Alligator mississippiensis: one gene and its partners. The protein of the gene in region 2 binds, or shares a complex with, the protein of the main gene of each other region. Links are inferred from orthologs where the notes say so. Each region holds a gene or a part of one and is shown on either strand. Other genes may lie near its edges. The genes, in order: INTS4, INTS6, INTS12 and INTS9.

Region 1 (8,136 bases), about 49 Mb from region 2:
TAATACAAGCTGTACTTCCAGAGGTTACTACACAAGGTGCTTCCACAATTTCTTATGCTCTTCAATTAAGAGAAAACTATTAATTGAGAACAATGGTATTCAACCTTTTTTCCAGGGGAGGGGGCAGCAGCAAATGGGCAGTACCTGGTCTGCCCACAGGTCAGATGTGACTGGTAGTCCTGCCTGCCCAGGGCAGGTGCAGCAGGCACCCATCCAGCCACATGGACAGGGGTGAGGGGCAGCTTGACTCCACAGGGAAAAAAGGGGGCATGGCTGTGCAAAAATGGGGGCAGGGCTATAAAAAACCCAGCCTGCATGGGTGGGGCCAGACCACGATTGGGCCACAACCTGACCCTGCGGGTGGGCAGGAAGAAGGGGGCATGGCCTGGTTCCAACCTGCTGCACAGAGCTTGGGACTTTGGCAGCAGGGGTGGGTAGCTGTATTAATAGCCACTGCTCCCCCACCACCAAATTTACCAACATGTTAGGAGCCCTGCAGGCCAGATGCAATGGCTCCATGGGCCACATCTGATCCATCAGCTGGAGACTGAGCACCCACAATTTAGATAATGGTGAACATGAACCATTTCCAATGTTTTTGACAATGTTTCATAAATGAGAATTGTGATTTTATTTTATTTTTTTTAATTTAAAAGACTTTTGAATTGATTTTCCTTTACTCCCAGAAAAGCCAGGGAAACCTACCCTACCCTCTAGGCCCAGCGATCACCTCATGGACCAGTACAGAAGTGACTTGTAGCCCCTCTTCCTGGTGAAGTGAAAGAGCTGGGAAAAGGTTGTCTAGACTGTTCTAGTTAAAACGGAGAGTCCTCAAAGGTTATATTTTCAAAACAGCACAGCTCTCACCCCATTTAGGCACCAAGTGAGTGGCCATGTTTTCAGAGGAGTTCAGCAGGCTGGATGCCAGGCTCTTTAAAAAGTCTGACCAGGAGCACCATAACCAGAGTTAGTGCATGTCGAAAACTGGCCCCTATTGCAGAGGCTCAGTACTGGAAATACTGGCCTCATGTGCGGATTTAAAACTGTTCCTTCCAACACTGGCTCACTTGTCCTTATCTACGCAGAATTTCATCTACCTTCTGATTGTACAACGGCTCCCAACAAGATGATATGCATCTGAACCCTAGATAAGTCCCCTGAAATACAAACAGTGCTCAATCTCTAGCCTGCGGGCCAAATCTGGCCTGAGCAGCCATATCATCCAGTCTGTAGGACTCTTCATGGTGGGAGGGGAACTGGGCAACCTTAATTGCTGCTCCCCTGCTGCCAAGTTTCCAGACCCATGGGGAGCCCAGCAGACTGGATAGCATGGTTCTGCAATGGCCACACAGGGCACAATCTAGACACTGACTCTGCACAGATCTGGCCCGCGGACTGGCTTCATGCTACTCACCCAGCCCACAGGGCCAAAAGGTTGACCATATTCTAACGAATAATAAGCATGCTACCTAGACAGTTTCATTCAACTGTTCCTACTCAAGATCACAAAAAAGAGAGAAAATCATGTTACAGGCAAAATGTTCCAACACCTTCTTAGGGTCAGGGCCTTGATATATTAGGTTCCCTACATTGTGGGGTTTTCTTTTTTCTAAGAACATTGTAAATTCATATTTGGAAAAGAACTAGTACAGGTTTCCCTTGCTTTATGCAGGTTCTGTATGTGTGAAATCGCTCTTATGCAATGACTCTTTTTATACCAAACCTTTATTATATGCAAGATAAATTCACTTGTATGCAATCAGTGTAGTGGAGGCCTGCAGTCAGTTGCTTTGTGCGGAGCATTGTGGGAGTGATGCCATAGACAGAGGAAGAAAAAATTGGGGGGGACTGAGCCGGGTGGTGGTGCCTGGGTCAGGCTACAGCACCAGCCCCTACAGCCTGACCTAGTCCAGTCCCATCAGCGCAGAGCCCTGGCAGCTGGTGCCCGTGCTTCTGGAGCCACAGCTGTGCTTGTGTGTACTGTCTGCTGTTGGTGAATACCAAAGTTATCTTGTAAGAGTGGCAGAAGTGGGTCTGGGGGGCAGTACAGTTGAGCTCTTGGAAGTATCCCTATTTGTTACATTGTAAAGTAGGTCGGTCCCCTTTATGCAAATTCAAGTTATGTGCTGTTTTCCAAGAACTCATGTACACCATAAGCGAGGGAAACATGTGTAGCTGATCCAACATCTTGTAAAGCGAGTAAGAACGGCTATAAGGAGCCTCCACATCATTTGTTTAAACAGAACAGGATTCACGGGGTTAAAAAACAGAGTTCGCTCTAAACCTCTCACCTACAAAATATTTTCTTTCCAGCCAGACAGCAGATTCCTGGGCTGAAACTGAAACTTCCCTCATGACTTCTTCAACAGGGCAAGTGAATGACTGATTTAAAACGAAACTGTTATAAGGATCTGCAGAAACAAAGCTTCAGCTTGCAATAAAGACCCATTATTTACAATAAGGCTATGATTCGCAAGACAAAGCTGAAGGACGACCAAGGAGAAGACCACCATCTTGACAGCAAAATGTGTTATTTCTCTTGTTTTTTAATAAAACTTAACTTGAAGGGTGATGATGACAGAGACTAGATCGGCAGCCTAGAGTAAGAATCTGCCTGTTCACAAACCAGATACAGCAATCACTTTCTAGCTTCTCTCACACCAAGCTACCCCAATAACTAAAGCCTGACCCTGAAGGAGATAGCGCATATGCAGAATATGTGCTAACTCCTTCGCCTGTCTGCTGAAACAGACAACAAAAACACCAAGGTTGTAAAAGCTGCAGTACAATTCATACAGGGGATGGGCAGTGAATAAGGAAGGCTGGCACCTTGGAGGCTAACTGGTTCAGAGAGACAATCTTTTGCAGGTGACAAGCTATTTCATCAAACATAAGGAATGGACGCTCCTCACATCTGATGAAGCTGCTGCCTGTGAAAGCTGGTGCTTCTCCAAACCAGTGAGCCTCCATGTTTGAAGCCTGCCTTACCTAAAGCCTGATTCAGACTAACACAGCCAAGCACCTCTATACAAGCTCATCAGACTCTTGCGTAGTTATATGCTAACCTGTGGCAGGCGTCATGCTAGTGGCACGGGCAGCCTGCATGTGGCACGTGGCAGATCAGGAAGGGACACGCAGCATGGTGGGGAGGGACAGACAGAGAGAGAGGGCAGGGAGCGGATGGCGGAGCCGCAGCCCGGCCCACCTTGTAGTAGTGCTCTAGCAGGATGCGGACGACGCCCTCGACGCTCTCGGCCTCCACAGGCTGGCGGGCGAAGTGCAGCAGGTGCTGCAGCGCGTCGGCGGCCGAGGCGGCCTTGCACAGGTCCACGTGCAGCGCCGCCGACTTGCTGGGCTTGGCCAGGCGCAGCTTCTTGGCCGCCGGCTCCTCGTGCTGCTGCGGGCGGAGGGCTGTTAGTGCGGGCGGGCGGACCCCCCCCCTTCCCTTCCCTTCCCGTCCCTTCCCCGGCCGTTACCTGCACCACTTTGGTGAACTCCTCGTACACCCGCTTCTTCAGGTGCGCCGCCATCTTGGGCGCCACCTTTCACCTGCGCGGCTTGAGCCGCCGCCGCCACCGTAGCCGGCTTGTCTCTCTCAGCGTCCCGCAGCACACAGAGGAAACGAGACGGGCCTCTCTAGGACCGCGGAGGTCTTCCTCTCAATGGTCCACGAAGGGGGCGGGGCTTGCTGTGGGAGCCAGGCTGTCCCCTTTGAGAAATGCAGATCCCTGAGTCAGGAGCTGCCTTTGCAGCCTGGTGCAGGGGCAGGGGGTCATGCTAATGCTGCCACTGGCCTGGCTGCTGCACGCGTGGGGTGCACCACTGAGGCACCCTGTGCGTGGCACTAGGGTGCAAATGAAGGGGGAGCTTGGGGGTGGGGGGGCTCCCCATAAGAGATATAAGATTTGGAAATTATAACCTAGGGAGGGGGGGGTCTCCGAGCAGATTGCTCCTTCGCTGAGCTGGATTTGTTCATCAATGAACTGGTTTAATTTTGTTTGCAGGCTCCCCCGCAAGGGTCCAAGTGTCATTCGAGCCCTGCCTGGCACGCTCTGCGCTCACAGCCGTGGCTGTCCACAAGGATGGAGCGCGTGGTCCTTGGCAGGCACGAATTCACCAGACACTGGAGAGAGACCCACACCTCCCTTTAGCTGCAGTTGGCCGAGCTTTAACAAGCAGCATCCAGGCGTGGCAGGAGATATGCCTCTTTCTTAGTAAATCAGTATAATTTGGGGGCTGGCTCCTCACTTTTCACTTCCCCAGTGTGAGGAGGGGGGTGTATCGAGCACCACAAACACATCCCTGTTTCTGCATCTCCTCACGTACACTGAATTTACAGCTCAGTGCATCCTAATCAAGACGCTGCTCTGTGGGTCCTAGAGCCCCCACTTCATTTCTTGCAAGGCCTGACTTACTTGTGTATGCTTTTGCCTGCGTGGGGTTGCCAGGGGAGGGCTGTTGCTGCTCAATTCAGGGAGGCGGGAGGATCAGTTCCTGTTGCCATTGTTCTTGTTGGCTGGTTCAGCACTGTGCCCTGATCAATACCTGCACGTGTGCTCAGAACGTGGTCTAAAGGCACAGGTAAAATATATAGAAGAAGGTCTCGCTTCGTGCCAATTATTTACAGTTTCCCCTAAGGCTTGGACAACCCGATGTCACTGGCAGTGTGCCTTTGATTGCAGGCAGGGGGCATCAGGTCCTGATCCTGATGTCTCTTTAAATAGGGAAAAATCCCAACCTCTTTTCAAATGGGAGGATTTGGTCTGCAAGCTCGATGAGTGTGCTGCAGCAGGGGTTGGGCTGGAGGCTGGGTACATAAGGGTGAAGCTGTTTTGCCGAAGGTTTCCCGGCCTGATTCATGCGTGATGGTTCAAGCAGCACTCAGATGTACATGAAGAAATACTTCATTGCCTGTTGTTTATTGGTTGTGGTTGGTTGTTTGGCTTGTGTTCTCTATTTTCAGGAAAGGTTTGAAGCTGTGCAGAAGCAACCCAAACTCTCCAAAAAAATGTCTGTTCTAAGATGCGTTGGGAAATTCCAGGACAGTTTATTTGGTTTTTGGTGAAATTAAGAAGACCCTTCCCTGGGAAACTATCTTCAGTTTCACAGGGAGGCTGGGCAGTCCCTCCATAAGACAGGATTTTATAAATACCAAAATTATAAAGGGAACCCAGGTTTTAAACTTTCTGTTTTCCAAAGAGAGAGGCCAAATACCAGTTTTGACTCTGGAGCTGTGTGTAGATTTGAAACCCATTTCCCTCACACTTGGGTGTTTGGATTTGAAAGGATAGTTTCTCAAAATACCAGTCAGTCACATAGACTCATAGAGAAGATATTGGGACAAATGCATTACTGCTGCAAGACCCAATCATGTCTGTAAGGGATACGGGACTTCGATCTATAATGTCTAACAATAATATCACCACCAGCACCACTTAAATTCCATGCTTGAGACGTGTCTTTCTAAACTTGAGGCATCTTTCGTGTTAGTAACAAGACCAAGAACTCAGCTTTTGGGTTTGCATCTGACCATTTTGCACAGCCCTGAGCTTGACATACATCCTCCTGATAGTCCCCTCTGTGACATCCTATGAAATGCTGAGCTCCCTCACCTGTGGTTGACTGCCTTGAAAGCAGAATGAGCTCAGTGAACCACAGGACCAGGTTCTTTTCCCTTGAAGTCAAGGGAGACTTTTATTTCAATGTACCTAGGATCTGAGCTTAGAGCTCTGGACCTTAGAGCAACGGACCTTAGCACTAATTGGGAATGTTGCATGCTCAGGACATTGAGGGTCAGGGCCAGGATTTTCAGAAGTCACCAGGGATAGTGAGTGCTGATGAACACAGAGCTGTTTCCCCCTCCCTCCTCCCCAGTTCCAGCACTCGGCATCCTTCCCCCCACACTCAGCTGAAACAGGAACTCAGAAACAACTGAGAGGGGAGGAGGTGGGAAGCAGTGTCCCATTTCGAGACAAGAAAGATATAGTCACTCTGCTTAAAGGTGTCTCAAGTTGGACACCAAAATTCATACATTAAAAGAAATCATAGAAATACAGGGCAGAAAGGGTCTTCAGGATGTCATATGCTCCATCATCCTGCTGTGAAGTAGGAACCTCCCCAAGATGTACCTAGGCTCTCCCTGACAGCTGTCTGGCTAACCTGTTCCTAAAAACTAGACACAGCCCCCTAGGTAACTTGTTCCAGTGCTTAACTATTCTTATAGTTAGCAAGTCTTTTCTTAAGAGCTAATCTGGATGGCCACTGCTGCAAATCAAGTAGATGACAACTTCTATGCTTAAAAGACACAGAGAGTAATTCACCACCATCCCCTTTAGAATAAACTTCAGTCTGCTCTTTTTAGACTAAGCTAACCAGATCCTTTTAACATTTCCTCTTTCTAAACCTTTTTAGACACCTCCTAAAAAGTTAACTTCTTGCTTAAGCTTCTAAATATTATGGCACTAACCTTCCTCACACTTATTCCTGTTGTCCACAGTATAACTGCATTGGCTCAAGTGGAGTTATTCCTTATTCACACTCCTGGAATACCTGCACCAGCAGTCAGTCCTTCTATACTGTATTTTACTTTTTTAAACCTGTAGTGTACAAGGAGAACAGATGAATAAAGAAGGCCCATCTAATTTGTACAAAGAGGCTTTTAAACATATATTTATTTAGCAACCTGTAATACACGTTGCCCTTGGGGCAACCCATATTCTCAGAGTTAGAGTAAACATACCCACAAACTCGAATGGCCAGTCTAATTTTCCAGGCCCCCCTGCAGCTTTCCATTTCCTTAAAATCACCAACTGTGGCCTCAAGTAGAAAAATAAATACAAAATAAACTTCTGAATCTTAAGAATTTTTCAAAACAGTGTATGAGATCTAATCCTGCGCCCCTGCTCAGGCAAAAATTCTCCACTGAGTTTTGTTTTAGGAGCACTCCTTTCCAAAATCATTGTGGATTTTTCTTACAGCTCGAAAGCCCGCATTCATTTGCAACGTGACGACATTAACAGATGTCGCAAGAAAAGCAGCTAAACACAGCTGCACTCAAGAGGAGTGCATGTTCCTCTTAAATGACAAACAGTTTTTGTTCTGTGTTTGTACAGTACATAGCACACTGAGGTCCTTGTCCAGAACTGGGGCTCTATGGCCCTACTGCAAGACAATACATGAAAATAAACATAATTATATTTGCTTAGGAATAGCTTGTCAGCCTGGACAGCATAACATCTTTCTTTATGGTGAGAGAGGGCCCTGATGATTCTCTTTTTTAATGTGGGATCCTGGTATGGAAAAGGATGACAAACACTATGCAAAGGCATGGGTGCTCAACCTCCAGCCTACAAGACACATGCAGCTTGCAGAGCCATGGCACAGGAATTTGGCAGTGGTGGGGAGCAGTGATGATTAATACCACCACCCTCCCCTGATGTTAGATTCCCAAGTCCCGTGCAGTGGGTTGGAGCTGGGCCATACACCCTTCTTGTGGGGCTGAGCCATGCCCTCTGCCAGACCAAACCCCCTTCCCCTGCATACCCGAATCATGGCTGAAAGGGGGCCAGGCCATACCCTCTTCCCCTCATGGGGCTATGCTATGCTTCTTCCCCACCCTGGGGGGCCTCGCTGGGACCTGGCTAACCCCCTTATGTCACATGGCTGGATCAAGGTCGGGCTGCCCCATCCCGCTCCCCACACCTGGATGGGGCCACATCTGACTTGTGCGTCAGACTGGCATCCAGCCCGTGGACAGACCAGGCACTGCCCATCCAGCCTGCTGGGCAAACTGTACTACAGCAGTGGTTTTCAACCTTTTTTCATTTGCAGACCCCTAAAAAAAAATTGAATGGAGGTGCAGATCCCTTTGAATTATAACTGTGGCTATTCACCTGCTTTTGATTGATCATAGTCATCTTTCATGGACCCCTTAGACATAGTCTGTGGACCCCCAGGTGGCCACAGAGCACAGGCTAAAAGCCACTGTGCTACAGCATTTAACTTCTCAGTGGAGGACCAAATATAACCATGGCAAGAATGAGCACAGCTCCCAGGAGGTTCAATGGGAGTTGCATGTGCTCATATGACTTTCATCTGAATATGTATAACTAATCTAAAGGACCTTCAGAGTGAAGT
Region 2 (7,867 bases):
CAAGGTTTCCTTCTAGCCCTAATGTCTATGAAATCTATGAAATGGAAGCCCTTGGCAGTCCAGGATGTAGCATTTGCCAAACATATATATATTAGTGATTAAACAAACCTTTCCTAAGTTTAAGCATCCTTTGCCATCTATGTATATAGGCGTATATGTGCACACACGTGTGCACACGCGCAAAGGATGCTTAAATTTAGGAAACATTTGTTTAATCACATACACAAACATGTATATCCCAGAAACCTTTCCCCAACTGCAACAAATGGAAGAGGTTGCAGCAGTTGATGAAGTTTGTAAAATAAGCAAGCTTGGAAAGACTTGCAATCAAGGAACTACAGACAGGTCTGATCCACCTCAGATGAAAACAACTTCATATTATCAAGCACTGCTTCATAACAACAACCAGCCAATGGGAACATCAATTCACCCGCCCATCTGAATGAAAAAAAGAAACCCTAAACTGGCTGGCTCACTCAGGATAAGTAACTTAATGTGAGCATCATCAGTTTTCATCAACATCCATAGTACAAAGTCGGCTTCTAGTGTTTTATGCCTGGGATAGCAATTTTTTTGTGACAACATCATGAGACTAAGCCAGAGGTATCAAACTCATTGAGCCCCATGGGCCAGATGAACTGGAACAGGGCCAGTTCACAGGCCAGATAACTGGTATGGTGTCATCCTACAGGCCAGACAGGGCCCACAGATCAGTTCCACAATGGTGCAGGCACTGTATGCAGCACACCCTGGACCAACCCCACATGCTACATGCAGTGCGGGCCAGCCCCACATGCAGTGCATGGATCCAATTCAGCACACGCTGTATGAAACATGTGGGGCCACTCTCCATGGGCAACACCACAGGCCATATCTACCTTGAGGGCAATATCTTTGACACCCCTGACCTAATTCAACTGACACAAGAATTCAGGGAAGAAGAAAAAAAGGTGAACATGCACATACGTTAATAGATTTAAAAAAGTAGCTCTGTATGGGAAAGTAGTGCATTTCAAAGTTTCACTAATCTATCTACATTCAAAAAAATATTGAGGGTGACTTTCATCTAGTAGTAATGCAACATGAGAAGTCTAAATGCCCCTCCTAGGCAAGAGGAACATGACACTGAAGAGGAGACTGTATATTCAGATTTAGAATTCCTCTGTAAAGCACCTGATGTCACTTGAGTAACTCCAGTTGACCAACAAGAAGCAGCAACCATTTCTTTGCCATTAGAGGGAGGGTTACATCACAAGAGGAAACCAGGAGAGGAAATGTGAGATAACATGTCTCAAGTACAAAATATACAATTAATATGCCTTCTCAAATGATCAGGTTTGCTACTCACTACTATACTAAACAAACCTATGGTTTGCTTCATGTTCCTAATTCCTTATGTTCTAGGCTAAACAGGAATTGAACACTTCCCACAGCACGTGCTCAACTTGTGAGAGAAGGAACATTGTATTGTGCTCCAATACATCATAATAGTGCACGTAGAGCTTCTTGTGGTTCTTATATAGGGGTCAGAAACTGAATGATCTGGTGGTGTACAACAGAAGTGAAGGAATATGCTAAGAAAGACGACAAAATCTGACACGCAAGATTAAGTCTCTGCTCCAATTAGCCTAATATTTGTGACTGCTGCAGCAATAACACTTCAGAAAAAAGCTAAACTCCCAAAGCGCAACCCTACTGATGGCACAGCACTGTACATGAAGACGCTTCCTCCTTTCATGAGCCTGGTGGCAAATCAGCTGCTGACCTGAAACAAAGGTTTTAATTACCTGGCTCCTGATAAATGTAAAAGAAAACTGACAGTCATGGTAACTGGAAAAAAAAAAAAATGACAACTTCAAAAGGTATGTTAGTGTTCAAAAGGTGAAGAAATATTTACAACTATTAAGGAAAAACCAAACTGAAGTTGGGTAAAAACTACGTCCTGCTTGGGGCTGCTCTGATGGCTGAATGGTTCTTTCAAAGTAGCCCCAAACACTTTCAACTGCAGTGTCATGAAGGAAGATCATTTTTGTCAATGAATCCTGTATGGTTTTGTGAAAGCTCCAGGGTTGGTTTTTTGAGGGTTTTTCCTTTAGGTGTTCCCCCTATTAACCGTCAACCTACCTGCCCATAGTTGTCTATGCCAGTTACTAATCTATTTAAGTTTAATAAATCAAAAGCGGTCCTGAGGGACTGGCCAAGAGTTGTCAGTCCTTCAGCCTGCAGGTTTTTCAGCTCGCTCATAAACGTTGCGTGGTTTTCTTTCCATCCGGCCTGAAAAGAGAAAGGCAAGAGAGGGGCTTATCCCAGGATAGTGGGGGGCTGGGATTGCCCTTCCCCACACAGGCTCCCACAGGAGGGGGTCCCTCTGGGGACAAGGCGAGTGCTTCCCAGGGCACCCTGCGAGGTGCCAAGAGGGCACTGCCCCCACCCTACCCCGGGGGTGGCAGCAGGGTGAAAGAGATGGGAGGGGGCGCAGGGAGGGGAGGAGAGGTGAGGAGAGCCCCCCCCCAGCCAGGCCCGGAGCGAGCGAGTCGCTGTCACTTCTCGCAACTCGCGCCGGATCACCCACAGTGCCTTGCGGCTCGCGTCCCGCGCCGCCAACATGGCGGCCATGTTGATGTCAGCGCCGCCGCGGCCGGACACCAGCGCGGCCGCCCCGGCCCCGGCGCCGGGCGGGGGGCGGGGCGGGCGAGGGGGTGGGGTGGGGGAGGGGAAGGGGGCGGAGCGCCGCACGCTCGATGGGGCTTTACCTTGATGGCGTAGGGAGGCTCCTCGAAAGTGACCAGCATGTACCTGTCCCCGCGGCTTGCGGGGTCCCGGGCGCGGAGCTGCGGGGGGGGGACAAAGCGCACGGTTACCCCGAGCCGGCCCCGCGCCGCCCCGCCCGCGCCCCTTCGCTCCCCGCCCGGTACCTTCATGAAAGTCTCTACCGCGCCTTTGGCTACGTCCAGATAGGTGGTGCCCAGATGGGTGCGCTGGTTCATGGAGGCGGACGTGTCTATCAGGAAGAGTAAGATGGGCATAGTGCGGAGCGGCGGCGGCGCCCGCGGCGGGCGCTACATGGACAGGGCGGGGGCCGGGGGCGGCGCGGGGCGGATGCGGGGCAGTGAGTGCTGTGCACGGGGCGCTCCCGCCGCGGGGTAGCCCGGCCCGGGCCGCCTTTGTGTGCGGGCCCGCTCGGCCCGGCCCGGCCCGGCCGCGCGGGGGGTGAGGCGCAGCGGGCGGGGGCTGCCCGGCTGCTGCTGCGGCCGCCGCTCCCTCCCCCCCGTGGATGTAACTCAAAGTTTTGGGTGGAGCTGCCGCGCGCACCCCCCACCCCAGCACTTTCTGTCTCTGACTGAGGCGCTTCCTCGCTCGACTCCCCCTTTTAAGGCAGCCTGGGCAGGTCGGGCACCGCCCCCGCAGGACACGTCCCTGCGACACGTGATGACCTGCCCGCCGCGCCATAGGGCTCCCGCCGAGCTCTCATTAGCATATTCAAATCGCCGGGGGGGGCGGGGGAACGGCGGTTGGCGGCGAGCACGCGCCAAGGCCTGACGGGGGCGCATGTGCACTGTGGCCGCTCGCTCCTGCGCTGGGGGGAGGGGCGCGAGAAAAGGGGCCGGGGGAGGACGGGGCGGGGACCCCGCTCCTTCACCCGCGCGGGTGAGTCACGGGCTATGGGCAGGTCCTGCCGGAGGGTCTTGGGGCGGGCCCGGCCGACTTGGGAGCTGCGTTCTGTAGAGCCTCGCGGCCGTGGCCTCCCCACAACTCAGCCCCTACGACTGGGCAGGGCGGGGCGGGACCTTCCTCCCGGGCGGTTGCTTCGCCCGCGGCGGCGGCGGCGGCGGCAGCCCTGAGGCGGAGGTGGCGGCGGTAGCCCCGAGGCGGCGGGGCGGGATGTGTGCGGGCGGAGGCGGCCTGGCCGCCCTTCCCTCAGCGCGGTTGCGGGTTGCGGAGCCGCGGCGCTAGCCTGGGGGAGGCGCGGGCCCGCCCCACGTGCAGCGCCCGGACACGTGGCATCTCCTCCCCCCCCCTCCCGGGGCCGTGTCACGGCGCCGCCCCAGCCCGGCCGGTGCTGCGTGGGGGTGGGGGCCACGGGACCCACGTGCGCTGCTGCCCGTGGGGGCGGCCCGGGGCGACCTTCGGGCTCCGCCGAGCCGCTCGCCTGGATGAGTTTGAGGCCCCTGCGCCGGGGCTGCGCCTCGGCATTGGGCGGCTCCGTGCGATCTGCTCTCGGGGCACAGGCATTGTCTCCCCGCTCGGGGTGTGCGCAGGGACTGCTGTTTCCTACCCGAGCTGACTTCCCCTCTTGTGCCAAAAATGGTGCTGGTTCTGATCTCCCCCATCATCCCCACTGAGCCACTTGGCTGCCTCAGACAAGGAATCAGCAGTGCCCTGGCCTTGTTCTGTGTCCCCACCCCTGCACACCAAGGCCTACCTTTGGTCCAACGTGCTTTATTTGGGGCCAGATAAATGCGAGGCTGGGGTTTAGGGCTAATTTCAGGGGAGCAGAGGCAGAACTTCTTGCACCCGTTGTTGCTGTACTGGTAGGTATAAGCAGATCCCTCTTGCCAGCGCTGTGTTAGGTGCTGCATTTGTGATCCGCCCAGCAAGATGACTCCAAAGGCCTTTAAAAGGTGAAAACAAGCCCCCGGTTGCTTCCTGTACCCCTGGCTGACACTGGACCTTGCCTAGAAAGGGTCCATGTTTAGCAGTGAAGGAGGTGGTTTCTAGGGTTCCATGTGACTTAACTGTCTTCTTGATGGGCCATTGCCCTACTATAAGTAACTGTTTCCTCTGAGAGAGGACTGCGTGAATCTTGCTGGAGGTGAGTGGCTGGCAGTTATCTCCCTGTGGTGGGAGGGAAGGGGGTGACAGGGATCAACCTTGAATTAAGGCTATAGGAATGCTGTACAAATCAGGGCTCATAGCAGCAACTAGGGAGTGACATGAAATAAAACTGCATACTCTGCTATAACTGGCTATCTTGTAAAATTGTGATAGGGACATTCCTCAGACATGCCAAGGAGGTTGATTTGGGCCTAGATGGCTGCTATAACTGAAGAACTATTTTACTTTGTTCATAGGGAATCCTAGTTCAATCCGATGCCCTTTTCAAGTAGCTTGTTCCCTAGACCCATCTTTAAAGGCTACAGATAGTCAAAGTGACCTTCATAAAACAAGTCAACGGTCTTGTTTTATGTAAGTAGTCCATAGCAGTGTAATAGAAGTGACTTCACTCGGGTATCTCAAGCTTTCTGCGTGAGCTGTGAGAAAAATCTACAGATAGCATATAGAAATATGGTATTCTCCGGGGCAAAAGACGGGAGAGGGCAGTTTAAATGCCTATCGTTCCAGTGTATTACATGAAGAACAGTCCTTATCAATGAGCTAGGAAGCCAGAAGATCAAATAATTGCCTAACTCTAACACTAATCTGAAATCTAAAGGTAAGAGCTGTTCTGTTTCACTGCTGTGGGTGGCAAGATGGAGCTTAGACAGTAGGAGTCATTTTGCCTTCCAGGGTTTAGGCCCAGTGGACGTTGCTGGCTGAAAGAATCTGGTATTGCATGCACGGAACCTGGGCATCTACAGCAATATCCAGAGACATGCTTAAGAAACATACATACCCACTGTGACTTTGAAGCTGGCTGCTGGAATCACTGCAGGCAGCTGGCACAGTCCCGTCTTCATGTAATACTAGTATTTTTTGCCTTCCCATATTAGGTCACTTGTAGATACAGAATCAAGGATGCCTTTGTACTGCCTATGCTAGGCATTTGTGCTTTTATATTGCAAGCTGGCTATTTTGATTATTGTTTAAGAAAAACTGAGCAAGTGAAAAGTAATTTGTTTAAAGCATTTCGCAAGAAGGTGTGACAGCAGCCAGCTTGTGATGCAAGAATCCTAGTGTCTAGCAGCAGCATCCAAGTGATATTTATAAATATCTCCCTGTGCAAAAGGATATACAGAGGAGCAGAGCAGAAAATAGCGACCTTAGTGGTCATGTTCATTAGTGCTATAGTAGCCATATCTGAGCATAGAAGTTTCCTTGAGTTTTAACGACTGAAAATGGATGCCACTTTTTTGGGCTTCTCAGCTTTGTTACATTATAGGTATATTTATACTCAGAATGACAGTTCCCCGTAATCAGTTGTTTTATTTAAAATTTAAAGGAACAGTCTATCTGAAATATGCTCTCTCACAATTGTGACAAGCAATGCCTAAGAGTATTGTCACTGAAGGATAAGAAAGGGTTTTGGTTGTTTTTTTTTAATGTATTCATTTTATACATAAGCTTTTCATGAGTTCTTCGTAGTAAGTTTTCCTGGTTGCTGTATGAAAAGCCACATAAATACCAAGGAATCTTTTTAGTTCACAAAATGCAGCATGGGAACTCAGCAGCAGGGGTAGCACCTGAAACTATTTTGCTCACTCTGTGCTTCAAAATGAGTGGTGTCCCTTTAAAAACTAGTGTGGAACTCATTCAAAATTGCAAATCTGGCTTTAACATTAAACACTACATGTACAGAGACACCGTTTTGAAATAAGTAGATTTAAAACTGAAAATATAAACAAGATGTAATACTTTTGTAACACTTGCTATTATTGAATAAATTTTACTTCAGTTTTCTGTTCCTCCTGTTTGATAGTTGGATGTGATGATAATCTTATATAACATAATATGCTGTCAGATCTTTTGTCATAAACTTCAGGCTTGACTAGAGGACGCTGTGTGGAAGACATTTATATAGATCATGGAACTAGAACTTTTATTCTCCCCTCAGTCCAATATTGTTCCATGAAAATCTTTCAGTATTTTGTTCAGCTCAGTTTTAAATGATACAAGTGATGGGATTCGCAGATTCCCTTAGAAGACTAAATCAGCAGTGAAGTAGATCTTGCGAATACTCTGCTTAAGTTTGCCTTTGTTCATCCTATTGCTCCTAGTTATGATGCATCCATTTAGAACACATTTAGAATCCATTTACCCCTCAGGGCAGGGGGTTGGACTCCATGATCTAATAGGTCCTTTCTGACCCTAAAAAAAATAAAATCTATAAACACCCTAAGCCAGGAGTGGGCAAAATACAGCCTACAGGCTAGATTTAGTCTACAGCGCCCCTAAAAAAAAACATAGAAAATGTATTAACTGTGTGGCTGCCTGTTGAAGATAAGGCAGCAGGGCCCAGGGGCAACTGGTGGCGGAACCCAGCAGCTGAGCAGTAAGGCTGGCCCAGCTCCACCCTGCCCCCAGACTCCACCCCAGCCCCCAACCGGAAGTCTTTGTGGCTTCTGGCCTGGTGACCCTTTAGATGTTCCCTGCCCTCCCTCCATCCAATCTTATCTAACTTTCCACTTGGATGGGGGGGAGTGGGGGGTAACGACCGCTGCAATCAGCCAACGCAGTCTGGAAACCATGTGGTGCTGACCAGGGCAGGCTGGAGCAAGAGCAGCCAGCAGGCAGGAAATGGCAGAGGATGGAAAGCTGTGGCAGCAGGCAGGGAGTCAAGATGGGCGGGAGAAGTAGCAGGAGCAGCAACAGCTGGGAAGTGGTTGGAACAGTGGCAGGCAGGCAAGTGGGAGGGAAAGCAGGGGAGTGGCGGGCAGTGGCACGGAGCCTGTGCCAGTGCCTTGGGGCTGGCATGGACCCAGGGTGGGGTGGCAGGAGCACAGAGCCTGGGCACAGGGTCTGCCTGGCTGTATTGCATGAGGCTCAAGTGCTGTCCATGAGAGCTGCACACAATGGAGCTGGGAGCCCAGCCCTGTCTCTGTCCCTCCCACCCCACCCACCATAGCCCCACAGCCACCACCTCAAACACATACTTCACACCCCACTCCCCAACCACATCCTTCCACATACACTCTCTTACTGCCCAGTA
Region 3 (7,640 bases), on a different chromosome or scaffold from region 2:
ACCTGGATGATATTGTGGCAATTTACTCAGGGGGCATTCTGAGTTGAGCTAGTCCAAAACTGCAACCACAAATGGAAGGGAAGGGAAGAGAGATGATCTCCTTCCTGCACTGCCCTGCTAATGTGACACCATGATCCAATGCAGAAGCCATGGGGCTCTGCCCTGTACCAGGAGTTCATCTTTTTTATCAGTAGGTAGTAGTGCTCTTCTCCTAAACTGCCCCATATCTTCTAGCCTTAGCCACTGCCTCCACACACAAAGGATGCTACATATGAACTGTCTAGAGATGCATTGATGCATTGGTCCATATTGTATCGGCACTGATAAAAGGAAAATTGACATTATTGGCAATTGGCTTTTTTTGGCTAATGTGCCTGATAATGTCGCTGATAAGTGTCACATGCATGTGAGCAGCTGTAGAATGCATATGGCCAGGAGTGCAGCCCAGAAGCTTGGAAAGCAGCATCTGGTCAATAAATCTGTGGGGAGGAAGGGGCATGGTGGTGAGGGGCAGACTGAGGCCCCCGCGGTGACGGAGGGAGTGGGGCTGGGGCAGTTGCTGCCCAGCCAGGATGGGGTGGAGTGTGGGACAGAGCTGTGGCTCATCCAAGGGGTATGGGGGGGGGGGCGCTCCTGCTGGGGCGGGTGGCAGTGGTGCCGGGGGGGGGGGGATTATGGGGGGACTATAGCTACCCCAAAATTTGCCATAGCCACCCCTCCCAGTGCCGTCGTCTGCCCTGTCCCAGCCCCTGCCAGGAAGAGGTTGGCACAGCCCTGGCCCTAAGTGCGCAGCCCACCCTTACCCCACACACAGATCCAGGGGGGGCATGTGCCCCCCACGCTTGCCCCAGGGGTGCGTGCAGAGGCAGGAGCTGCTTCCCCCTCCCCTGGACCAGCTGCAACTCCGTCCCGGCTGTGCAGCGCCTACCCCAGCCCCTGCCTCACTGCAGGGGCCTCAATCTGCCTCCCCTACGCTCCTTCCCCACAACAGACTTACTGGCTGGATGCTGCTCTCCAAACTGCCAGGCTGCATATTGGCAATCAGATCGGTATCAACCGATATAACTGGTTAATAATTGGCCATCTGTAAAGGCCCCCAAATTTTTTATCGATGCACTCCTAGAATGGTCCCATAGTCCCAACATCCATTGTTCCTCCATGTCTAACATCTGTTCACTAGCCTGAACACTCCATGATTCTCCACAGACCTCTAATATGCAATCCCACAGACCACTTATGCTCCAGCACCACATGCAGTCCAATAGCCTGCTTTTCTCAGAGTATCTTGCAGAGATACACAGCCCACCAATTATTCCCACCCCAGGCCTGGCACTACAGCCCCAGAGTCCACTTCCTCCAACCCCTTGTATAACTCCACAGCCTCCCTCCCCTGTACTTCCAAGGCATGTTGCAGAGTTACAGAGACTGAGGGCAGTCACGTTTGCCTGGCAATGCACTGGGCTAATTAGCAAAAGAGTTAGTAGACAGAGAGCCACCTCAGATCTTTTATTTGGGAAGGCCCTGCCTGGACTGGGTGCTAGATCCAGCCAGCATTTGGAGAATTCTGGTTTAACTGGTTACAGTCTTTCTTTACTCTCCCCACCCTTTCCTCACTTAATAGATAAGCTGTTGCTTGAAATAAAGTAAAAAGGTTAAAAGTGATGAAAGTCTTCCAGCACATTAACTTTAATTTAAAGACTGTCTTGTAACTTGGGAACAACTGACCTGCCCTATATACACACACGTGCAGATATACATACAAGTGCACATACACATATATATGCACGCAGACAGGTACAGGTACATGTGTGTGCACTGTGCACATGTATTGTGAATCTGTTGGTTCATTTCCTCCTACCTGCTGTTTGTCTGTCTCTGGGCTACTTATTGCTTGGTTTGTGTCCTCTCTTCATAGATTTCATAGACATTAGGGGCTGGAAGGGATTTCATGAAATCATTGAGTCCAGCCCCCCTGCCAGAGGCAGGAAGTCTGCAGGGATCAAATGATTCCAGCAAGATAAGCATCCAGGCGCCTTTTGAATGAGTCCACAGTAGGTGCTTGCACCAACCAGCTCTGGGGGGAGTCTGTTCCAGACCCTGGGCACACGGACTGTAAAGTTTTTTTTTTTTTTATGTCCAGTCTAAATCGGCCTTCCAGGAGTTTGTGGCCATTATACCTAGTTATCCCTTGGGGGGCCCTGGTGAACAACAGTTCTCCCGGATCCTAATGTGCCCCCCCCTTATAGACTTATACTTCTCTTCTTAGACTAAACTTACATATACCCAGCCATAGGCGACATAGCCACAGGTAGAGGGTGCACAGAGGAGCACGAGCCCCCCCTGACAGCAGACACTGATGCTGTTGGTAAGGTTGGTGCCCCCCGACAGGGCTGCCACCGTGGTGGCTTATGCAGGCACCCCCCCAAATTCAGGAGGTGCCAGTCACTCACGTACCCAGCACTACCGCAAATAAAGAGCAGCTCTTCACAGAGCCATATCTTTCAGCTTGACCCTAACATACTGTTAACCCAGTAACATGCTTGCATTTAGCTCAGGTTTGACTGCCCAAAATGCATCTTCAAAGGAAAAACGAACAGGTGAAAAGGGGTCTGGTAATTCAGGTGAGGCTCAAGAACCTGAACCATTAGAGATGGAAAAGCCCTATCTGGTTCACTGCCCAGAAAAGCAAACAGAAATGAATCCCTGGCTAATGCTTACTGTAAGGCAGGGGTGACAAAGTGAGCTGGCCCCGTGCACCAGATGAGTGACACGGGACTGGTCCACAGGCTGGATCGGGTCCAGGGACTGCCCCTCCCCCCCAGCCAGGCGTGTCAGATCCAGCCCCCGCGTGCAGCACAGGTCCTGGATCTGGCAGGTGGCGGGACCCACAGGCCCCTGCCCCGCAGCCGGTGCCGGTGCCACTGTGGCTGGTGCGGGACTGCACTGCACTGCTCCGCTCTAGGACCCGTGCTGCATGCGACACCTGCCTCGGGCCGGCTACAGCAGGTGCTGCAAGCACTGCATCGGCTTGCTAGGAGGAGGGGGGTGGGGAGGGATCCCAAATCGGCCCTGCACACGTGCTATTTGCAGCCCAGATCGCTTACCCCTGGCCGCGCCGGCCGGCCAGTCCGTCCAGCTCGCGGTCCCCCCGGCGCCGCGCGCTGCGCCCGCGGGTTCCGCCCGGCAGCGCGCGCCGCAGGAAGGGGCGGGGCCGCTGTGACGTCAGCGCCGCGCGGGGGCCGGAGCTGCGCCACGGGTGAGCGGCTGCGGGGAGCGGGGCCGGCGGTCACGTGGTTCCGAGGTGGGGGAGTCACATGCTTCCGGGGGGGTGCTGACCTAGGTTGGAGCCCCCAGCTCTTGACTGGGCTGGGAAGGGGCACCAGCTCCCCCCTGGGGAAAGGGGCTGCATCACAATGGGGGGCCTGTGACGCGTGTGCGTTGCGGGGCCAATCCGGGCGCGCCGGGCGGGGGGTGGGCAGTGCTGGTTTGGGCCCCGGGCGGGGCTGGCGGTGGGGTCTCCGCGGCCCCGGGTGCACCCCTCGGGCTCCTGGCGCCTCGGGCTGCGCCGCGCCTGCCCACCGTCATTTTGCCGCCTTCCCTTGTCCCCCCGGCCTGTTTCTCTCTGCCAGGGTGGCCGGGTGTACGAGAGCCATCCGAATTGTACCATAACGTCAACCCTCGTAGGATAATAATAGGAGAAGTGCTCAAAGCATAGCGCAATTTTTGAGGCAGGTCTTTGGCGCAGCGGATGCAAAACCCAGGTCACTTTCAGGGAGCCTTAACTGACTTTATTTTGTTTTGCTTTTTTTAATTCAATATATTTCATGTTCTAGGTCAAAGCACCCAAATCAGTTCCGAATCATATTGGTTGAGCAGAGCTCAATCGGTCCAAAAGCCTTATCGATGGACCAGGCAGGACTCAATCATTCTGAATGCTGTGTATGGTGCTACAACTGGTGAACATCCTCCTTCCCAGACCAATTACTCTGGGACTTAAGATGCTCCCAAACCCATTGGCAGGTATCCTACGTGTAGGTCCAAGCAAGCTCAGAGGTCTTGGGGTTTGGATGCCCCCATCATACTTGATTTGATTCAAAAGGCTGAGAAATGATTTTTGGTCAACCCATTCTTATGACTGCTTGCTTCAAAACAAGGAGATGTTTCAACTTTGACTCTGTTCTCACTCACTCCCTGGCAAGTTACAGGAAGCAGTATAAAGTAAATAAACATTTGCATACTTATTTGCATATTTTTTCAGTGTACAATAGTTTTTCAGCAAATGCAATAATTTTGAGCTTCCGACAGGATAATTTCATGTTTAAGACCTGGCAACGCTGCTCTCTGCAGAATAAGCAATGTCTCAAGCCTGGTAGCCCTTTCCGCTAGACCCTCACCCCGTTCTTCTGCTGCCCTTTGCGAACTGTCAGGGTTGGTTGAAAGGGGTCCATTCAAATAGTTTGGGCACCAAAGCCTGGTTTTTAATTCAGTTTCTGGCATTCTTCATCTGAATCTCTCAAAAGAACTTCATATGAAGTTATATAGAACCTTCTGACTAATTTTTCTCTGTTAATGGGGAAGCTGAGGCACAGAAGTTAAGCATTTAGTTTGTTGTCGCACAGTAAATTGGTGGAAATATAGCTTAGGTCACTTGAGCTGCATGTCCTAAACGCACGGGTACTGTTTTGTACTGCTCTGCCTATTTGTTGGAGCAGACGTTCCATTTTTTAAAAACCTAATTGTCCTGGCACATGTTAAATTGAAAGAAATATTGTTATCAAAGATGCCCAAGACTCTGCCCAACACAAAGTCCATCTATGATCAAAGCCTTATTCAGAAATTAGGACCAAAATGTTTCCATCTTTTAAAAAAAAATTAACTTTCTTGGGAAACATCTGTTCTTTGAACAAAGATGCATAGGTCTGTCCCACAACCCAAACACTGCTGTGCAGTGAAGGTGATTTAATTGGCATTTACTCCATGTCCTGGGAAATACTGAAAAGCAAACAAACACGATAACTGTGAAGTTATTTTTGTTTTTTGAGTTTTAGTTAACAAAAGTGGCATTCATACCATGGGTAAATTTGTTTCTGAGATCTGGTCTTTAACCTATTCAGTATAGCAGATGATGTTGCTCATTATTGTATTACAGAAGCAGCTTGAGGCTCCAGCTGAAATAAGTAAATGTCTGTCCTGCCCCAAGGAGTCTGCAGTTTGAATGGACAAGAGAAGTAATTTGATAGGGAAGTGGGAAAATATAAGCTACAAAATATAAGCTACAAGCAGAGTGGAAAGCACGATGGTTTGTATAATGGGACAGCAGGAGTGTAGCAGGGCAACTCCATGCCCAGGGCACCATTGGCTGTTGTGGTGATGATCATGGCAGCTCTTGCTGCGGTTGTGGCTATTTTATGCCCCACTCTACAAAGGCAGCATCTAGAACTGTTGCCACTGGTCTCTTCCGCTTCAGTCCCCATTATAGGGAAGAAGGGAAAGGGCCCTCTAAAGAGGAACCAGGGTGGAGGCCACATCTTTAAGAGCAGTATAAAGGAAGGGCTTAGCAGCAGGGGAAGCAGAAGGCTCTGGCTGGACCAGGAAGAATGGAAACCCAGGAAAACTGACTAGGATAAGCGTTAGGAAAACAGGAGGAGGCCTCACAGGCCCAAAATAGAGGCTAGAGGTTCCATTAGGGCTCTAGAGGCTAGGCTAGATGCATCAAAGGGCAGGGACTAGTCTGGGGAAGAAGAACCCAGAGGCCTTACCTGGGAGATGTCATAGCTGAGAATGTGACATACCAGGGGAGCCAGTAAAGCCGTAAACCCTGTCAGCTGGACTCTCATTTCCTTCTACCTGCACGCTCTGTAAAGTCAAGATGTGGTTTGGTGAGATTAGTAAGGACACGATGTCATAGTTTCATAGTTGGTAGGGTCGGAAGGGACCTAAGCAGATTATCAAGTCTGACCCCCTGCCATGGGCATGAAAGAATGCTGGGGTCAGACAACCCCGGCAAGGTGTCTATCCAGCCTCCTTTTGAAGACCCCCAGGATAGAAGTGAGCACCACTTCCCTTGGAAGTTGGTTCCAGATCCTAGCCGCCCTGACTGTGAAGTAGTGCCTCCTGATATCTAGCCTGAATCTACTCTCTGTCAACTTATGGCCATTATTCCTTGTTACTCTCAGTAGTGCTCGGGGGAACAGGGACTCTCCCATTGCCTGCCGGTCTCCCTTGGCCAGTTCATAGACAGCCACCAGATGCCCTCTCAGCCTTCTCTTGTGGAGGCTGAACAGGTTCAGGTCTCGTAGCCTCTCCTTGTAGGGCCTGCCTTGCTGCCCCCTGATCATGCAAGTGGCCCTCCTCTGGACCCTCTTGATGTTGTCCACATCCCTCCTGAAGTGCGGTGCCCAGAACTAGGCGCAGTACTACAACTACAGCCTGACCAATGTCATATAGAGGGGGAGGATCACCTCCTTGGACCTGCTCATGATGCATCTGTGGATGCAAGGTGTGATTAGCCTTCCTGACTGCGTCCCCACATTGGCGGCCCATGTTCATCTTGGAGTCTATAATGACTCCAAGATCCTTTTCTGCCTCTGTGGTGACGAGAAGGGAGTTCTCCAGCCTCTAGGTATGCTGCTGGTTCTTTCTCTCTAGGCGCAGCACCCTGCACTTGTCAGTATTGAATCCCATCTTATTCTCATCCACCCACTCCTGTAACCTGTCCAGATCCAATTGCAGCCTATTCTTCCCTTCTAGCGTTCCCACTTCTCCCCACATCTTAGTGTCATCTGTGAATTTGAACAAGGTGCTTTTCACCCCCTCGTCCAAGTCTCTGATGAAGATGTTGAACAGTACAGACCCGAGGACCGAGCCCTGGGGGACCCCACTGCCGACATCCCTCCAGGTCAAAAATGACCCATCCACCACCACTCTCTGGGTGCAGCCCTCCAGCAAATTGGCGACCCATCTGACTGTGTAGGCATTGACACCACAATCTCCTAATTTTTTAACAAGAATGGGGTGAGAGACAGTGTGGAATGCCTTCCTAAAGTCCAGAAAGACTATGTCCACCGTGACACCTGCATCCAAGGATTTTGTGACCTGGTCATGGAAGGCCACCAGGTCGGTCTGACAGGACCTGCCTCTAATGAACCCATGCTGGTTGCCCCTAAACATACACTCCCCTGCTTGTCCCTTGCAGATGTGCACCTGGATAATTTTCTCAAAGAGCTTCCCCAGGACCAAGGTAAGACTAACAGGCCTATAATTTCCTGGGTCTTCCTTCCTCCCTTTTTTGAAAATGGGGACCACATTGTCCCTTTTCCAGTCCTCTGGCACCTGGCCAGAGCACCACGAGTGCTCGTAAAGCTGTGCCAAGGGTCCCACAATGACCTCTGCTAATTCCCTCAGCACTCTGGGGTGGAGGTCATCAGTACCTGCTGATTTGAACGTGTCCAGTCCCACCAGAAGTTCCCTGACTAGTTCCTCTCTGACCGTGGGCCTGGCTGTGACTCCCCTGGGACCATCAGGGATCCTGGTGAGGGGGATGACCTGGTCCCTGCTCAGAAAAATGGAGGCAAAGAAATTGTTAAAGAGGTTAGCTTTGTTGTCTGGTGAGACCACCAGATTCCCTAGCATGTCCTGCA
Region 4 (8,463 bases), about 410 Mb from region 2:
ATTATTATATTTCTCTGAAATTAAACTGGTAACTCTACTCCAGGCTCTGCCGTCAAAGGAGTGCGTGCACTGGATAAGCTCCTTAGGTTATGCAGGTATTTTTAAGAAGTACAGTAAAGGCCTCATTATCTGGCATGAGCAGAGAACAGGGGGTGCCAGAAATCTAAAAATACCGGTTACCTGAAGTACGGAGGTTGCTGGCCAGACGCAGAGCCGGGGCAGGTGGGGGTGGCGGCAGCCAGATGTGGAGTGGGGAGGTGGCAGCAGTTACATGTGGAGCAGCAACAGCAGCAGGGTTCAGCGCGGAGCAAAGCTCGGCACAGCAGAGCAATGGCAGTGCAGGGCAGCCCACGCGGAGCGGCCGTGGCAGCTGCCGTGTGCGAGCTTTCCCCTGCGTCCGGCCGGCCAGAAATTCCAGTTAACAGAGTATTCTGGCTAGTTAAATGTCAGATAGCAGAGATTTTACTGTACTGAGTGCCAACCTATGCCATCTACACCTTCCTCAGACAAAGGTACTCAACACCTGTGGAAGTCAGCCCAACCTTTCTTTGCCTGAGGAAAAGAAAAGCTACAGATTGTCCCTGTACGCTGGGACATGACAGTCCGAGCCGGAGGGAGGAAAACTTGGTAAAGTGGCTACAAAGAATGATAACTAAAATAATTGAAATGGAAGGCACCTTAAGAGGTCTTCTAAATGAATCCTCTGCTCAAAGCAGGATCCTCTAAACCAGTGACCCAAGGGGTGATTTCAAGGGGTGCCTTGAAATCCTATCGGGGGGGCACACAACACTAGCACTGTTAGGTGTACAAACATGATTCACATGATGAACCAGGGTGGACAAAAATCAATGATTTTTTTTAATTAAAAGTTGAATTTTTTTATTTAAATCAGATTTTTCTGATTGAATCATATCGATTTTTTTCTTACGATTTTTAAAAAATAAACCTACATAAAAATAGTTTAAACTTAAGATATGTTAGAGCTCAAAGATATCATCATGGAATAGGGATTATAACTTCTAATTATATACTATTTGAAACAATATATTCATGTAACCTTTTTAGAGAAGCTTTATAAATAGGTCAAAACAGGCCATAGACTATATTAGGGTCCAATCTTATGGGGTTCCCAAAGGATTCTCCAATGATTAGTAAGGATTAAAGAAAACTATTCTACCCAGTGGAACTCAGTGCTCAGTCTAGAAAATCCCATTAAGCATCTCTGTGATGTTTAGTTTCAGTTCTCAGACTGTGGATTTGTCTCTCCAGAGGTAACACCCCTGTTAACAGCAGTACACAGAGATGAGAGAGAACCGACCCAATTACCTACGGATCAGCCCTCTTGTCTCGGCAAGTTTGTGTATGCAGAGTCAAGCTTTTGCCCCACTCTAAAAGTGCAAAGTTTCAAAAAGTTAAATGAATAAAGGATTGTTGGGGGTGGAGTAGATCTGGGCAAGGAGGAAGAGTCTAGACATAATGCAAGGACGGGATGGCAATAGAAACAAAAGAAACATTTTTAGCAGAATATTCCAAAAGTCTTGAGGAATAAGTTTCTGAGTATAGCTTCTTCACTAATTTGAGATCTAGCGAGGGAATGATATGGTAGAAGGGAAAACCTATCATGGCAGCAGGCTGGCCAAGCCATAAAAGAGACCCAGGTTGGGAATATTTTAATGAAGGTTATATCAAACATCAAGAATGCACTTTTTGTAGAAAATAATGATTAAAATTGAGGGTTCTTGATTTAAAACAACTGTATTTAAATCAAAACCACCCTCTGATGAACCTAGAAATTTCAAATAGGAATCCTTGGGTTAAACACATTTAGATCTGTTATGATCTTTCTGAGTTCTTTGCATCAAAAAACCCGCTCTATGATTTTTCCATAGTTAAAAATGTGTGAACAACAAAACTGCCATTTACAGAATGACATCATAGGTCCAATTGCCCAGGCTCTTGTGTCATGGGGCAGCAGAGAGCAGATGCTGAAAGGGAGAGTGAACAAGGCATGATAAGGGATTTTTCCCACTCTTCCTCTCACTTGCAGCCTCCAGGCATTTTCTGAGGGGTGCCCCATGTCTAACAAGGTTGAGAATCAACCTCTAAAATTGTCTAACATGCATTTAAAAAAAAAACCAAAAAAACCCCACTTTCCAGCACCAGAGGTTTTGCAGCCTTTTCAGGTCACCTCTTCCAGTGCTCAACCAGCCTCGCAGTTAGAAAGTTCTTCCTAACATCTAACCTATATCTCCTGTGTTGCACGTCAGAGGCCATTACTTCTTGTCCTGTAAACAAAGACAACAGTTGATGGCCGTCTGCTTTACGACAGCCCTGGGCATATCTGAACAGAGTTATCTACTGCAAAAGAAGAGCGGTTACAAAGAGGAGGGCGATCAGGACTGGGTTATCTGACTAGACAGTGTTATATCAGAGCTTTCCTCCCCATAAGTTTCTCTAGTGCCCTGTAAACTCAGGTGGAAATCGATGCTCAGCTGCTCCCAGCACTGAGCAGAGACGCTCACCAACCTGCCGTGCCCTCCGCAGCCCCAGCTCCCTGCCCAAGATGCACCTCCAACACTTCCCTCCTAAACTGCCCCCCCAGACCCAAGATGCCCCTACATCATCCCCCCAAACTGCCCCCAGCGCCACCCCAGATGAAATGCCCCTCCACTGCCACCCAAGAACTTCACCCAGTGTCAAACCGGTCCCAAGATACCCCTCCACCACCCCCAAAAACTGCCCCCAGTGCCACCCCAGCCCCAAGATGCCCCTCTACTATCCCCCAAAATTGCCCCCAGGGCCACCCCAACAAACTACTTCAGTGCCACCCCAGCCTCAAGATACCCTTCCACCATCCCCCAAAACCACCCCAGCCTCCAAACACCCCTTTCCCTCAAAAAACCACCCGAGCCCCAAAATACCCCTCCACCATCCCCCCAAACCACCCCAGTGCCACCCCAGCCCCCATATACCCCTCCCCCAAAACGGCCACGCTCCTCCCCCGCCCCCCCGGTGCACACAAGCCTGTTTGGGGCCTTAATACAGGCATGAACCCCCAGCCTAGGCCCCTCCTGTGCCTCAGTTTCCCCATGTGCAGGACGGGGCCCTCCAGCAAGGTGGGGAGGGGGAGCAGGGGCCAAGGCTGAGGCTCCCCAGGACACAGGAGGGGGAAGGACAAGAGAGCCCCCCCCCGGCCTGCACCGCCCCACTCACCAGCTTCATGCTGCCGGCCTCTTCCCCCCTGCCCCTTCCTGCCCTGCCTCTTCCCCCTCCCAGCGCGCGGGGCACGCTGGGACCTGTAGTCCCTCCCCGCCTCCTCAGCCGGCGGATGAGGTCATGCCCGGGAGGCATGCCGGGAGCTGTAGTCGGCCGGCCGCGCTCCCTGATTGGCGGGCCGCGGGGCACGCCGGGAGTTGCAGTCCGCGGGCCGCCCGCCGTCCGCCGCCCTGGGGAGCGGCGAACTACAAGTCCCAGGGCCGCGGCGCGGCGGCAGGTGGGCGCTCGGATGTTGATATCAACATGGCGCTCGTCAGGCAGACAAAGACGGTCCGTCTGGGGTGAGCCCTGAAAGGGGGTGTGAGGGGGAGGGAGGGGTTGCCTGTGTATCCTCCTCACTTCGTATTTCGGGGGGGCTGAGGGGGTGGCACCCCTTCACTGTATGTGGTGGGGATCCCCTCGTGTGTCTGGGGTTGGGGGTCGCAACCCTTCACTCTGCGTGCGTGTGTGTGTATGTGTGTGTGTGTGTGTGTGTGTGCGTGCGTGTGTGCGGGGGGGGGTCTGTGTGTGTCTCCTTGTTACTTTGTAAATTTTTTTTTGGGGGGGGGGGCTGGGGGGTGAAGCCCCTACGTGGTTGTGTCTGGGGCTTGGGGTGTGAGGAAAGGTTGGGGGGGCAAATCCCTTCATGGGTCTGGGATTGGGGGGGTGGGGGTTAAATCCCTTCTTGGGTTTGGGACTTGGGAGGGGGGGGTTAAATCCCTTTGTGGGTCTGGGATGGGGGGGGTTAAATGCCTTCGTGGGTCTGGGAATTGGGGGGGCAGGGGTTAAATCCCTTCGTGGGTCTGGGCCTGGGGGGGGGGGGCGTTAAATCCCTTCATGGGTTTGGGACTTGTGCGGGGCGTTTAAATGCCATCATGGGTTTGGGACTGGGGGGGGGGGGTTAAATCCCTTCATGGGTTTGGGACTTGTGGGGGGCGTTTAAATGCCATCATGGGTTTGGGACTGGGGGGGGGGGTTTAAATCCCTTCATGGGTTTGGGACTTGTGGGGGGGGGGTTAAGTCCCTTTGTGGGTCTGGGACATGGGGTGTGAGGAGAGGCTGGGGCGGGTGGTGAAATCCCTTCCTGGCGCGTGTCCGGGATGCTGGGTGTGAGGAGAGGCTGGAGGGGTGAAATCCCTTCCTGTGTCCGGGACTTCGGGTGTGAGGAGAGGTGGCGGGGGGTGAAATCACTTCACGTGCCCGGGACGTGGGGTGTAGGGCAAGGCTGGTGCGCGTCCGGGATGCTGGGTGTGAGGAGAAACGGGGGGGCAGCGTCCCCTCGTATTTCAGGGGGAGGTTGGGGCTGGGAAGAGGGTGAAACTCCCTCCTTCTCTATGTCCAGGTTGGAGAGGGGTGAGGGGGGCAGCGTCTGCCTTCGTACGCTCATGACTTTGTTTTTCAGGGGGAGACTGGGGCTGGGAGAAGGAGAAATCCCTTCCCCACATGTGGAGCATGAGGAGACATTGGGCGGAGGGTGGGGGGATGTTTGCCTTCATATCCTCATGACTTGGTATTTTAGGGAGAGGCTGGGGCTTGGGAAATCTCTTCTCCCTGCACATCTGGGATGTGTGGGGCCCTGAAACTGCCCTAGGGAAGAGTGGCTGCTGCTGCTGGGGGCGGTGGGAGGGAGGAAAATGCCGCATGGCTGCTCTTTTTTTTTTTTTTTTTTTCTTTTTTTATCCTGGCCCTATGCTTTTTTGGCTTTGCCGCGGAGTTAGAATAATACCGGCTGGGAGTCGCGTCTTCCTTCAGGAACTGCGAAACGCAGGAGCCCGGCAGAGCTTTTTGCCCCCTCTGTGTTGGCCGGTGGGTTTATTGGTGGGAAGTGGCAGTTAGAAGTGTCGCTGAATCCATCTGCAGGGCATTTCTTTGGAAACAGTTTCTGCAGCAGCTCCGTTTCTCTCTGGCTTCTGGCCCTTTGGCGGTGGGTGATGCTTTCCCCAACCCCCTTCACATGGGGGAGGGGGAGGATGCCTTTTTTTGGCGGGGGGAAGCTTGCTTGTGCGGGGGTGATATTTCCAAGTCGCTGAAGTCGGGTATATTTTGGTTGCTTCTGGAGTTTTTTGTGGCATCGAGGGAAGTGCAAAATCTATACCAACTGAAAGCTGTGGGTTTTAACCTGGGGAAGGAAGTGTTAAACTGATGGGCAGAGTCGTGATGTGAGAACAGCGAGTCTGATGGGCACTGGCCGAGTGCCCCAGAGGCCAGAGGGGATAGTGGAGAAGGACCCAGTGAAAGGGATGACATTTGCATGGTTTGACACCCCAGAAAATAAAATTGTCATATAAACGGTTTGTGCTAAGCAGACAACTTTTGGGCTTGCAAAATCCTGGAGTGGCTGTCTGGGTCCTGTGATATAGCTAACTCATTTCTGCAGGGCTCATCAGGTGCAAGAGCCTCTCTCTGCTTCCTTCCTCGGATGGTGCAGCTGGCATCTGATTTCCTCCATAGATGGGAGAGGAGGAGCCCAGTGCAGTTTTTTTTTTTTTTGTTTTTTTTTTCCCCCCTGAGATGATTGCATTTTCTTTGGCCTTGCCGTACCCTGCCTCATTAGTAGGAACTGCCTTTCTCTTTATTTATCTAACATTAGGCCAGGCTCACAGGGATGCTGGTGAGAGGGGAGTGGGTGTATGTGGATATATAACTCTGAAGACTTTTCTTTAGTCGCTGTAAGATCATGCTGGGGTATGGTCCTGCAACAGCAGACCGTAAACTTTGTTTATTTGTGTGCGTCTTGACTCTCCTTCTGCTCTTTCAGCTCCAAATCCTTAAGGAGAAGGTAGGGAGGCAGAAGGTGTGTGGGGTGGGGAGAGGGCAGAAGGTGTGTGGGGTGGGGAGCAGTACATTACATGTACTGATATTTTGAACTTTTTTAGCTTCAGGCAGATTTATATTTCTGGTTGTGAAAATTATCTGCTGTCTCTGTGTCCTCAGAGCTCTGGGTTCTCTGAGGTGGGACAATTCTGCTCAAACTAAAGTGAAATGCTTGCATCTGGGGATGCCGTGTCCCCTTCTGACACACAAGTTCTTCGTCTTTAACCCTGAGTCAGGCACAGCTTTCTGTACAGACAGAATTGTCTAGCGGGCTGAGCATGGGATCAGGAACAAGGACGTGGTGTTTAACTCTGCTGTGCCTGTTCTCTTAATCTTCCTCCCATTCTGTTAGCACTGTTGCTAGCAGTCAGCCATCAGCATTTTTAATCCTGTGTCATCTACCTCCGTTCAGAGCAGGTCTAGACGACATTGTAGCATGTGGGCTGCCAGGCATTCTTCCTGGGCATGAAACTGCAATGTTGCCAGAGAATTGGTGGGAAATTCTCAGAAAATCCTAGGTAGCTGAGACATTCCTCTTTCTCCCACTAATTTTGGCAAGTTGCTTCAGTCTTGAAAGCATATTCCGTTGTACAAGCACAACTATAATAGTTTGTGCCTACATGGCCACCTGGTAACGAGCTCCCGTTGTGCTAGATGCTCTGCAGAGTGGACATGGACCCTTCCTGCTCAGAGAAGTTTACCCTATGCCTGTTTCCATGTCTGTCATGCAAGGATTTCTTCTGCTCTCCTTCAGAGAGGTGGGGCCAGCAAATGTCTGAGCAGTGCTTGGAAAATGAAATCCCAAGTGTTCCCTGATGCACTCATTTTGTCATGATAATGAAGTGGCATATGCGTAAGTTCAGGGAGGAGTTTGAATTGTTCTCTGCCTTTGTTTCGGGAGCTAAGGAAACCCTGGGACTAAAGAAATTCAAGTTTCTGTAGTGAAATGCACTTGTTCTGCTAACACTTTAGCCAGTGTGTGCCTTATGCAGTCTGGACCTTCAGTGTGCAGTTCTGGGGAGTGGGGAAGACTCTAGATAAGTGTGTGTGGTGGGAGCTGGGGGAATGAATATTATTCTGATGCAAGAAACAGTTTAACTTAAAGCATGCTGATGCCTCCCTTCCATAAACAGGGATTTTTGAAGATTGCCTTTTATGCTAACAGCTACTGGTTGCATGAGAGATTCCTGAGTGTAGTCCTTTCTGTGCAGCGCTCATAGGGTTTTGAATGCAGGATCAGAGCAGTTTATGGGCATGTTCTTCACCTTCAGGGAACTTCAGGATTTGGAGTCAATCAGGTTAAAAAATGCTGTCAGCGTAAAAATCTTATTGCAGCAGAACAGATAACTTTACCTGTCTTACAGATAACTTAATGCAGTTTGTTTGTTGTCTGGGCTGCTCCCAGCTGGGATGCTTTTATAGTCAGTGCAGTCAATGTCACTTTACATTGATTTTAATGCAGCTTCACGCTGGCTCTGGTAACCACCTACAACTCCTTGTGGGATTGGGCCTTTAGTTTATACATGTCCTGATGGTATTACCTTGTGTGTTCACATAAGTGTCATATTACTGACAAGGTTTTTGGTTGATTTTTGTGGGGGGGGGGGGGAGAGGGTCTTTTAAACTATATGCCTCTTAAGTTGATTTGGTAATGGAGTATTCAGTCAAGAGCTGGAAACTGTAATTCATTGCCCCTGTATAAACGAGTGCAGTAACCCAGGAGATATCAAGACTAGGCACTGTGTTATGCACCTAGTTAGAGACCTGAAAAATGATAGTAAAAGGCCTTGATTCTGCAAAGAAAGTTTATTTTCTACCAATGGGGACTTTTTACCACCTTTAATTTTCCCTGAGCCTGAGGAAGGGTGTGTGTGCCCAAAAGCTTGCAGAAAAAAGATATTTTTTTTGCAATTTTTTAGTTGGTTTAATATGTGGTATCATCTCTGAATCAAGAGGTCTAGAGTTTTTGCATTTCTTTTTGATTCTGCAAATGCTGATATACACGTTTAACTTTGAGAAATGCAAGTGGTCTTATTGAAATCAATGGGATTCCTCACGTGCTTGAAGTTACTGCAGGTAAAGTGTTAACAGTTTGGAGGTTTGAGTAAACATGAAAGAACCTTTAAAAAAAAAAATCAATGCATTTTTCCCATTTTACAGACTGCAGACTGAGGCACAAAGAGCAGCTTGTCCACTGTGAGGCATGGAGTTTGTGGCGGAGCTGGGAATTGAACCCTGGTGCCAGAGTCTCAATCCAATGCTCTGATCACAAGGTTGTGCTTTCTCTTGGGTTTAAGTGGCCGGCTGCCAGATTTTAAAAATAATGCCAGCATAGGTGTTTTTCTTTCTTAAAGTTTCAAACCTCTGGATCCTAAGATTACTTTTGTTTTTCAA

The links.
Region 1: INTS6 (region 2) and INTS4 share a complex: the UniProt entries of both Homo sapiens proteins name them as parts of the integrator complex. The link is inferred for Alligator mississippiensis from reciprocal best matches to the Homo sapiens genes INTS6 and INTS4.
Region 3: INTS6 (region 2) and INTS12 share a complex: the UniProt entries of both Homo sapiens proteins name them as parts of the integrator complex. The link is inferred for Alligator mississippiensis from reciprocal best matches to the Homo sapiens genes INTS6 and INTS12.
Region 4: INTS6 (region 2) and INTS9 share a complex: the UniProt entries of both Homo sapiens proteins name them as parts of the integrator complex. The link is inferred for Alligator mississippiensis from reciprocal best matches to the Homo sapiens genes INTS6 and INTS9.

What each region holds. Positions count from the first base shown.
Region 1 is NC_081824.1:465,164,660-465,172,795, reverse strand, and holds the start of INTS4 (integrator complex subunit 4), read right to left. Parts: upstream 3,621-8,136; 5' UTR 3,531-3,620; coding exon 3,477-3,530; intron 3,398-3,476; coding exon 3,206-3,397; intron 1-3,205. UniProt on the Homo sapiens protein: Component of the integrator complex, a multiprotein complex that terminates RNA polymerase II (Pol II) transcription in the promoter-proximal region of genes.
Region 2 is NC_081824.1:416,203,237-416,211,103, forward strand, and holds the start of INTS6 (integrator complex subunit 6), read right to left. Parts: upstream 3,176-7,867; 5' UTR 3,027-3,175; coding exon 2,916-3,026; intron 2,832-2,915; coding exon 2,754-2,831; intron 2,653-2,753; exon of another isoform or gene 2,573-2,652; intron 2,275-2,572; coding exon 2,125-2,274; intron 1-2,124. UniProt on the Homo sapiens protein: Component of the integrator complex, a multiprotein complex that terminates RNA polymerase II (Pol II) transcription in the promoter-proximal region of genes.
Region 3 is NC_081825.1:131,326,202-131,333,841, reverse strand, and holds the start of INTS12 (integrator complex subunit 12), read right to left. Parts: upstream 3,189-7,640; 5' UTR 3,105-3,188; intron 1-3,104. UniProt on the Homo sapiens protein: Component of the integrator complex, a multiprotein complex that terminates RNA polymerase II (Pol II) transcription in the promoter-proximal region of genes.
Region 4 is NC_081824.1:6,034,606-6,043,068, forward strand, and holds the start of INTS9 (integrator complex subunit 9), read right to left. Parts: upstream 3,278-8,463; 5' UTR 3,223-3,277; coding exon 3,214-3,222; intron 1-3,213. Other genes in the region: HMBOX1 (homeobox-containing protein 1), read left to right, coding at 3,506-3,546. UniProt on the Homo sapiens protein: Component of the integrator complex, a multiprotein complex that terminates RNA polymerase II (Pol II) transcription in the promoter-proximal region of genes.